Linked DNA regions of Tribolium castaneum. The protein of the gene in region 1 purifies or fractionates together with the protein of each later gene. This does not show direct contact. Links are inferred from orthologs where the notes say so. Each region holds a gene or a part of one and is shown in the gene's direction. Other genes may lie near its edges. The genes, in order: bys, RpS3 and l(1)G0004.

Region 1 (3,233 bases):
ACAAGTAATAAAATAGAGACCTGTAGTCGGGTCTGGCATTTGCCGTTTTTTGATTTTGGCCTCGGACACGGCAACTGTGTAAGCCGAACTCAACTTGATAAACCAGGCGGCCCGCATCATAGGCACCTGATACTCGCACAGCATTATAAAAATCTCCTCTTTCTTGTTGAAATTGGGCGCTTTTTTCGACAAGTGCATCAATGGTTTGTTCCCAGCTAGATCCTTAAACCAGAGTTCTATGGCATTTTTTGTTCGTATTGTGGCGGGCCAGAAGTTGTCTTTGGGGTTGATTTGTTGCCGCTTCCTGCCGGAATCGGGCAACATGCTCAACTCCTCTTTGCGTTTGATAATGTCATTGAAATAATCCCCGACTTTGCTTGCCGAAATATTGCAGTTTCTGGCCGTTCCAAATTCGTCGCTTAAGTGGGTCATTGTCAGGAACCCATGTTTAACGTTGACACTCGTCAACTCGTCTTCTTTTTGCTTCGGTTCTTGCGGGTAAACGTCCGGAGGGCCGATTTTCGGCTTTTTCAAAGGTCGTTTTTCGTACAAAAGGCTGCTATTGAACATTTTGGCACAATTTGGGATTGCTATTATTTTGAACACTGACAAGGGGGCCTTTAGGCAGCTCCAATGTAACGCATCGCTACAATTTAATTAAAATCTCGACCCCGGGGGCTTCATTGCGGGGGAAAGTGCCAACACCTAAACGAGAGGATGGGAGCTAATATTTCAGTTTTTACACCGATTTAGACAAATAAAAAAACGACAAAGTATTGAACAAGCATTATGTAAGCTTAATTAGGAAAAAATGTAGTGATAAATTACCGTTTTGACGAAATAAACACACTTTTATGCACCAACAACACAAGTTTTGAAGATGGTGTCCTCCATCTTGACCTCTAGGGATAATAAAAAAATCCCTGCTAATTGCTTAATTTTATCGAATTTTAAACTAATAGCGCAATAGTTTAAAAAGCGAATTTTTAGAAAATTAATTTTGCAAAATATTTTACCCGATTTGACCCAATCTCGTACTTAATGCTGCTGTTTTCCAATTTAATTTTAAATTGCCAATGTCGCCAACCCAAACCTCTGACAAGTCCTTTTAGGTTACGTCCAGATAGTTTGAAGACACGTGTGGTAAACAAATAGGGATAATGGGCAAAGCAAAGCGCCTGAAGCCGTCTCAGATGGGCACCAAGGTGCCCCTGGACCAGGACATCGAGGACGCGAAGTTTGCCAAGTCGAAAAACCGCAACAAAATCCGTCTAAGACAAGACGACGATGAACAAGTTTGTATCGCTTTATGATTGTCTAAAACCAATAAAAAATTCCAGTTTGTGGACTCGAACCTCTCGCGGAAGATTCTCTCAGCCGCCCGAGAGCAGCAACGCGAGCTGGACTCAAGTTTCGGCCCCACGCCGTCCGAGGCAAGTTCAAGCAAGTTTAAAGTGTCCAAACTGGGGGACGATGACTCCGAACCGGAAGAGGAAGACACCCTCGAACCGGACACGTTTTACGAAAACATTGAAATCAATGAAGAGGATGAGAAAGCTTTAGAGAAGTTCATGAGTAGCAATCCGGCCCCGAGACGCACTTTGGGGGATATTTTGGCCGAGAAGTTTACCGAAGTTAAGACGCATTTTAGCGAGGAAGGCTCGGTCAAAATGCAGGAGTTGGACCCACGGGTGGAACAAATGTATCAAGGGGTGAGGGATGTTTTGCGGAAATATAGGAGCGGCAAGTTGCCGAAAGCGTTCAAAATCATCCCCAACTTGCGGAATTGGGAACAAATCTTATACATCACGGGTAATTAAAATCATTGTTGATGCCCAGCGGTTAATTAAGTTTTAGATCCGCCAAGTTGGTCAGCTGCTGCCATGTACCAAGCCACCCGTATTTTCGCCTCAAACCTCAAGGAAAAAATGGCTCAGAGGTTCTATAATTTGGTTTTGTTGCCCCGAATTCGCGACGACTTGGCCGAATACAAGCGACTCAATTTCCACTTATATCAAGCCTTGAGGAAAGCCCTGTTCAAACCTGGGGGCTTCATGAAGGGAATTCTCCTACCACTGCTTGAAAGTGGCGATTGTACGCTCAGGGAAGCTATTATAATAGGCTCAGTTGTCGCAAGAAACTCTATTCCTATTTTGCATTCTTCTGCCGCGATTTTGAAAATCGCGGAAATGGATTACACCGGCGCCAATTCGATTTTTTTGCGTATTTTCTTCGATAAAAGATACGCGTTGCCGTATCGTGTTGTGGACGCAGTTGTGTTCCACTTTTTGAGATTCGAGCGAGATTCCAGGGAATTACCCGTTTTGTGGCATCAGGCTTTCCTGACATTTGTACAAAGATACAAAGCTGATATTTCAAGCGAGCAAAGGGACAGTTTATTAGAATTATTAAAGAAGCAAAACCACCACGCTATCACACCAGAGATCAGAAGAGAAATTCAAAATGCGAAATGTCGAGACGCTGAAACCGCCGAACCAAAAATGGACTTTGACTAAATTAATGGTTACATAATTGTGATAATTATATTGAAAAAAATCGGTTACAACAAGACTATTAATAAAAACTTGGAAAAATTAGGAAAATTATGTTACTTAAACCAGAACTAATTAACGTCAATACGATTTGTTCCTAACTTAGGGATAAACTAGTGCTCCCTAATCTCTATTCATCCAAATAATGACTTTCAACAACAAATAAGCGACTCCAAAACCAACTAGAAACTTCTCCTTTTGGAGCCGGCTCAAGTTTTCTAATTCTAAGGCCATCACACGTCTGTTGAGCTTCGCCATTTGCCGCCTGAGGTGCAGCACCTCTTCGGCGGCCGTCAGCCTCTCGCCGCTGCCCCCGATCGGGGGCGTAGTCTCGCGTATCGTCAGATTCAAATCCGAATCATCAAACGCCTGTTTTTTCTTTGGTTTAACCACCGGAATCTGGTTCAGTTCCGGGTCCTCCATCTCCTCAAGAGTGGGAAAGGGGTACTTGTCCAGAGTCAAAGTCCTGGGCGGGGTCGCAACCCGCACATCCCCGGGGTACGGTTCTGGGGGAAGGATCGAGTTGTCAAAGACAATTTCGCGTGGGGGCGCCCTTGTCCCTAGAATCCTAGTCAGACGCACCAAATAACCTAAACAACTCACCAATGTGCTGATGTTGCCCCACGACGAGGATTCGCTCAGGGACTTGCATGTTGATGTTGTCGCGGTTCCACGGGGGCT
Region 2 (3,760 bases), on another chromosome or scaffold:
CCGTTATGAAATACGTACCTGCTTTTATAAAGGGAAGGACCATGAAGCTTATTTATAAAAAAAATGTCTGACGCAACAACAAACTGAAGATGTGTGAGTTTTTTTCACAAAAAAAGGAGTTAATTATTACAAGCTCATTGGTGGCGACCAGTATTTATTTTCAAGGACTATGGAAGAAAAAATACAATAATAAAAAAACATTTATTCTCACTTGGTGTATAAAACCTATACATTTTCTACATAAAATGGATACACTTAAACATCACTATCTAAATAAATCACAGTACTCTTAATGCTGAGACCTCGTTTGCGATCCCACACATATTTTTATCCACAGCTATGTACAAAAATCCCCCGTCCCCAAAGTCCACACCCCACGTATTCCTGACAATATAATGCGGAATACTTGCAGTCAAATCATACCCAACAATCTGGACAGCATGATTTAACTTTGACGGATCCCCATCACAGTGATACTCAATAACACCTCCAATGTAATTCTGCCAAGTTTGCGCATTAATCGCAACAGCCAGGGGTCCATTATCCGCCAAAAGCCTCAACATAACATCTTCAGACCCCACTAATCTGAAAGTTTCCATAAGAAAGAATAAACTTAAAAAATAACTAAACGAACCCTTCACACATGAAGTCTCTAACATGGACACCAGCCGAGCCCCGGCCACATTTACCCCCATAATCGGCGTGTCTTTGAATCGTGAAATTTGTGGCTTTGATCCAAGACAGTAAAGTGCAAATATCGCCCCCATTGCACCCTTTGTTGTTACCAGCGCAATCGATAATTTCTTGCACACTGAGCTCCTCAGACTTGTTGGTTTTGATGGCGTTCATGGACTCCACAGTTTCAATAACAGAGTAGGCCCAGCAGGCCCCACAACTGCCTTGGTTGTAAATTCTAGTCACTGCGTTTTTTTCTCTCCAATCTACTTTATTAGGCACTGTTGCTCGTTTATGGTGGTGTCGTTTTGGCTCATTTGAATGCGTCTTCTGACTCAGGTTTGATTGTAAATAGGTTTGGAAAAATTCCTCTGGTAACAAGTCCGAGAATTTCGTTAAACCGTACAGTGCTGAACCATTCCTTTTTTTGGAATTCAAAGTCTCGATTGTTTGTAGTGATTGCTGAAAAGCGACGTTATACAACAAGGACACAAATTATAAGTTTTACCTTAAATGCATGAAGACGGTTTTGATACACAGAAGGGTCATCGTATGTCTTGTTGAACCTTTTCAAGTACTCTTGAAATTGTGATTCGGCTTGGTCTGGGCCTTTTATTCTTATAGGGATAACGAAAAATAACAGAGCAATGTAGAAAATCGCTTGCAAGTAAGTGCTCCACGAAGCCATTCTTATCAAAACAGATATTTTGGTAACAATGATAATATTGAACTATTTGTCGCTATCGCCATGTTTATTAATTTGATTATCTTGAAACACAATCCTGGCCCAGTTAAGTGACTGAGTGGAACAGAAATTTATAATGAGGGTGAATGAGGTTTAAGCAGGTATTTTTTGATCCACATTGTATAAAATGTCACGACATAACCTCAACGTATGTTGTCAAACCACAAACATAAAAAATAGATGACAGAAATTAACAAAATTACCAAAAAAACTAGAGAATTTATTTATTTATTTTTGTTTTTAATTTATTTTTGCCTATGGTCTTACATTGTTTTACGCAACAGTTGCATAAATTATTCGGTCCAAGATCTTTCCCCAAGATAATATTTTACATTTGGCGCAACTTGTGTAGAATTACATTGCGTTTATTTTCTCAATTACGGCGAAAATATACGACAAAATTGAGATATTTTCAATTATTCGTATGCAAAATTGTCTGGAGAATTGATTGGCGTCGTAAATTCGTAATAGTTTTTCAAGTTATAAACCGAAATAGATTTTGGCTATTTTTGCATTTGTTAGCAATAATAATATTTTTGGAAACTACCAGTAGCAGGACAATGACCTTTTTTTAAACGATAGATGATTAAAAAGAGTTCTGAACACATAAAAGTTCATAAAAGTTGTTGGTTTGGTTGGAGCTACTCAGATAAAAAAAAAATAATTTTTTGAAGGTAAAAAAACTGAAAAAAGAACAGTCTTTTCATTACGTTATTTACCCGATATGCAAGAAAGTTTTCTCTCCAAAAATTATTCAAATAAGCCGCCTTGTAAGCGTCCTCTATCACATCCCTTCCCAATTAGGTCGACTTCCGCTCGCCACACGTCAAACCTTTTCCATTTAGAACGTCAAAATGGCGACTCCAATTTCGAAAAAACGCAAGGTAAATACCAGAAATTGGCCTTTCCATCCACTTAAACATGTTTAACTCTTCATTAGAGCCCAAAATCTTGTAAAATAAGCACACATGTTTGGGCTAACATTCATGTTTACTTGTTCCCCAAACCATAACCCAACATTTTCCCACATGTGGTCCCCAGTTCACCGACTTGATGTTGCGCTTATTTGTAGTTTGTTGGCGATGGCGTTTTCAAAGCCGAATTGAACGAGTTCTTGACTCGTGAATTATCAGAAGATGGGTACTCCGGGGTTGAGGTCCGAGTCACCCCAACTCGCACGGAAATCATCATCATGGCCACACGTACTGACCGTGTTTTGGGGGAGAAGAACCGTCGTATTCGTGAATTGACTTCAGTCGTACAGAAACGTTTCAATTTCCCCGAAAACTCAGTCGTTTTGTATGGCGAGAAGGTGGCCAACAGGGGTCTGTGTGCCATTGCACAAGCAGAGTCTCTTAGATTCAAATTGATCGGAGGTTTGGCCGTGCGCAGGGCTTGCTATGGTGTTTTGAGGTACATCATGGAATGTGGCGCTAAAGGTTTGGACATTTGGCTCAAAACGTATTTTGAATTAATTTAGTGGTTATTTTGCAGGGTGTGAAGTTGTAGTTTCTGGAAAACTGCGTGGCCAGAGAGCCAAATCGATGAAGTTTGTTGACGGTCTCATGATCCACTCTGGGGACCCATGCAATGATTATGTGGACACAGCCACCCGCCACGTCTTGCTAAGACAGGGTGTGCTGGGAATTAAAGTAAGTTTTTGTAAAATTATTGGTGTTTGTATGATGCTATTTTGTTGTATTAGGTCAAGATTATGTTGCCGTGGGACCCCAGCGGCAAAACAGGCCCCAAAAAGCCTCTGCCTGACAATGTCTCTGTTGTGGAACCTAAAGAGGAGATTTTGCCTGCCTACCCCAGCAGTGAAATCAAAGCAGTCAAACCTGACGCACCACCAGCTATTCCAGTAGTAGCTTAAAGTTATCATAAGATTAATTTTCAATAAAATTCTGGAAAGATAACTTTCGTTTTATTTTAATACCAAGAAAAATGCCCTTCCTGTTTCAACCTTATTCCTAATTTTGCCATTGGGAATGTTTTCTCCCTTCTAAAAAAAGAAATTCCTCTAAAGCAGTGAGTCATTAACTGCGACGTGTTTTATCGACATTTCAGAAAATTAGCTAAACTTTGGAGCTACGTAATTTCCAACTAAGTAAGATTTTACAAAATGACACGTAAACAAAAATTTTGGCGAAGCAACTAATTGTTGAGTGAAAAAGGCAAAAGCAGCGTAGATAATTTCCGTTTCTTTTTGAACAAAATATGGTTTAAAAATGTGCTAAAGTAAGCATTTAAAAGACATCGTGATTCTGTCCGTTTTTAAAGGAATTTCGCAAAATAAGAGAGCTTAAAGCAATTTTTAATTTTCGGCCTGTTTACTAA
Region 3 (2,374 bases), on another chromosome or scaffold:
GAAATCTTCTCTCAACATTTTGTAATTGCATCCCTTCTGGCCATTTTATAATAGTTGGTGCTACGGCATTTAGAATTTTTACTACTCGTTTGAAACACTGTGAAAGAGATGACTTTGCTAGTCCAAATCTTTCTCCAACTGATCTAAAATCAACAATATTATAACGTGGAGTTATAATATTTTAGCTAACCTGTATGAATCGGGTGTTACGAGTATCCATATAACTGACAACAATTGTTTTTCGACTTGAACAGTACTTCGTCCAGTAGCAGCTTGTCGCATTAAATAGGGGCCAACTGTTTGTAAGAGTTGTTCATAAGCCTCAATGGTTACTCGAAAATGTTGCTGAAATTCTTGCTTGGTATAACCAGAAATTGTTGCTTCAATATAATTCTCAATACGTTGAGGTTTCTTAATTTTCCTACTTTTTATAAGCATCATCGTAACAATATTTTCTTCATCAGTTACATCGCTGTCCTCATCAGAAGAATATGTAACCGGAATGCCAAATAACATTTCCGATGATAATACAACAGGGATAGTAATTATGTCATTCATTGTTACGGTTCGTTTGTTGAATTGGTGGGCTTAAATGTACCTATGCCATAAACGGACCAAAGAGCTGATATTATTTGTCACTTACCTACTTTAAACGACAGGTTATATTTTTATGTCAAACAATTACAAGAGTGTCAACTGTCATGTTGCAGTCTACTTCAACCGTTCATAAACTTCAGAAAGCTCTGCATTCACTCTAGGTGAAAATTGCCTTACTCTGACGTCACAACAACACAAGATACTTTAGTTTATGAACGCACTCCTGCGCTCTTTCTGACGTTTCGTCAACACGTGCACCTAACCTTAAAGGGTTATGGTTTTAAAATAGCCAATTTTGCCCCAAATCCGCGACTAGTGTTACAAAATGGCCACGCAAGCCGATGTTAACATCGAAACTGACAATTTCGAGCCGAAGAGGGCCACCAAGCGGCGAAATGACTCGCTAGGGGAGGCCCCCATGGAAGTGGTCGCTCACAACGGGATCGAAGGCAAGGTCCGCAACAGACCCAGACATAAAAGGTCCAGGACAAAGTCGTACTCCGAGACCAAGGACAACATGAGGAAAGTACCAGTCCCTGCGCACAGGTACACCCCTTTGAAGGAAAACTGGCTTAAAATTTTCACCCCAATTGTGGAGCATTTGAAACTACAAGTGAGGTTTAATCTAAAGACGCGGAACGTCGAGGTGAAGACGTGTGACGAGACTGAGGATATTGGCAATTTGCAGAAAGCCGCTGATTTTGTTAAAGTAAATAAACACGAGTGTGGTTTTTGGGTTGTGGCTTAAGTTGGGTTTCAGGCTTTTGTGTACGGTTTTGACGTGGATGATGCCTTGGCTCTGCTGCGTTTGGACGACTTGTTCATTGAGACTTTCGAGATTAAGGACGTGAAGACACTCAAGGGGGACCACCAGTCGCGGGCCATTGGCCGGCTTGCGGGTAAAGGCGGGCGCACGAAATTCACAATCGAGAACGTCACCAAAACTAGGATAGTCCTGGCGGACAGCAAGATCCACATTTTGGGCAGTTTCCAAAACATTCAACTCGCCAGGAGGGCGATTTGTAACTTAATTCTAGGATCACCACCGTCGAAGGTTTACGGGCAGTTGCGAAACATCGCGTCTAGAGTATCTGAACGAATGTAGTATTTATTTAATAAATCATTTCTTGAAAAATTTCAAATAAGTGAGTGAGACAAGTATGGCGATTTCTATGATTATAATCAAGATGAGGATGAGTTTGTTGTAAATGGCGTTGCGCCCCATTTGCTTAAGCACCGATTTTGCGGTGTCCAGCTGTTCGTTGGCGTTTTCAAGCCGCCCCCTGGTCCGCAACAAGGTTTCTCGCTGCTCATTTAATTCTGAGACGACTTCGTTTCCGATTTGTTCCGTCTCGATGGCGATTTGGTTCGATCTTGCTAGGCTTTCACCCGTTCGTTCCAACGTTGCACGCCCCTCGAGCACCACTTGTCTGTTGTGGGCCCCCCAATCGTAGTTCGACTCGTTGAACATTTTGACCCAACTTTACAGTACACTATTTCACATGGGCGTTTTTGCACGAATTGTTAATAGCTAATTATAATTAATTAACAATAAATAATTGATAAAAAAATTTCTTGGTTATGTTCATTAAAAATGGCGGTGATAACAAATAAGTGCGGTGTTTTCAAAATCGTTTCCCAAAATTGTGATTAAAGTGATAATTGGTTACGAATTCGAACGGAGACTGCCAGTTTGAGGTAATGCACCTATTTCCAGCCCAATTGGTACATAAATTATGTGGTTTTGCGCCTTTGTAACCTCACTTTTATTGTGTGA

What was found.
Region 2: the proteins of bys (region 1) and RpS3 purify together in Homo sapiens (affinity purification with mass spectrometry; 4 studies listed by BioGRID and IntAct, counting the BioPlex papers as one, with this or other methods). This does not show direct contact. The link is inferred for Tribolium castaneum from reciprocal best matches to the Homo sapiens genes BYSL and RPS3.
Region 3: the proteins of bys (region 1) and l(1)G0004 fractionate together in Homo sapiens (co-fractionation; 4 studies listed by BioGRID and IntAct, with this or other methods). This does not show direct contact. The link is inferred for Tribolium castaneum from reciprocal best matches to the Homo sapiens genes BYSL and PNO1.

Annotation. Positions count from the first base shown.
Region 1 is NC_087398.1:4,030,599-4,033,831, forward strand, and holds bys (bystin), read left to right. Parts: upstream 1-1,074; 5' UTR 1,075-1,160; coding exon 1,161-1,295; intron 1,296-1,340; coding exon 1,341-1,812; intron 1,813-1,857; coding exon 1,858-2,516; 3' UTR 2,517-2,603; downstream 2,604-3,233. Other genes in the region: kto (mediator of RNA polymerase II transcription subunit 12), read right to left, coding at 21-570; Tango11 (transport and Golgi organization protein 11), read right to left, coding at 2,676-3,112, 3,156-3,233. UniProt on the Homo sapiens protein: Required for processing of 20S pre-rRNA precursor and biogenesis of 40S ribosomal subunits. May be required for trophinin-dependent regulation of cell adhesion during implantation of human embryos.
Region 2 is NC_087402.1:7,605,726-7,609,485, forward strand, and holds RpS3 (ribosomal protein S3), read left to right. Parts: upstream 1-1,479; 5' UTR 1,480-1,521; exon of another isoform or gene 1,522-1,595; intron 1,596-2,171; exon of another isoform or gene 2,172-2,224; 5' UTR 2,225-2,274; coding exon 2,275-2,304; intron 2,305-2,492; coding exon 2,493-2,859; intron 2,860-2,914; coding exon 2,915-3,072; intron 3,073-3,125; coding exon 3,126-3,296; 3' UTR 3,297-3,339; downstream 3,340-3,760. Other genes in the region: cathepsin O, read right to left, coding at 279-585, 635-1,137, 1,184-1,363. UniProt on the Homo sapiens protein: Component of the small ribosomal subunit. The ribosome is a large ribonucleoprotein complex responsible for the synthesis of proteins in the cell. Has endonuclease activity and plays a role in repair of damaged DNA.
Region 3 is NC_087396.1:22,616,825-22,619,198, reverse strand, and holds l(1)G0004 (RNA-binding protein pno1), read left to right. Parts: upstream 1-805; 5' UTR 806-922; coding exon 923-1,306; intron 1,307-1,357; coding exon 1,358-1,702; 3' UTR 1,703-1,717; downstream 1,718-2,374. Other genes in the region: uncharacterized protein LOC107398176, read right to left, coding at 1-143, 191-558; Vti1b (vesicle transport through interaction with t-SNAREs homolog 1B), read right to left, coding at 1,718-2,068. UniProt on the Homo sapiens protein: Part of the small subunit (SSU) processome, first precursor of the small eukaryotic ribosomal subunit.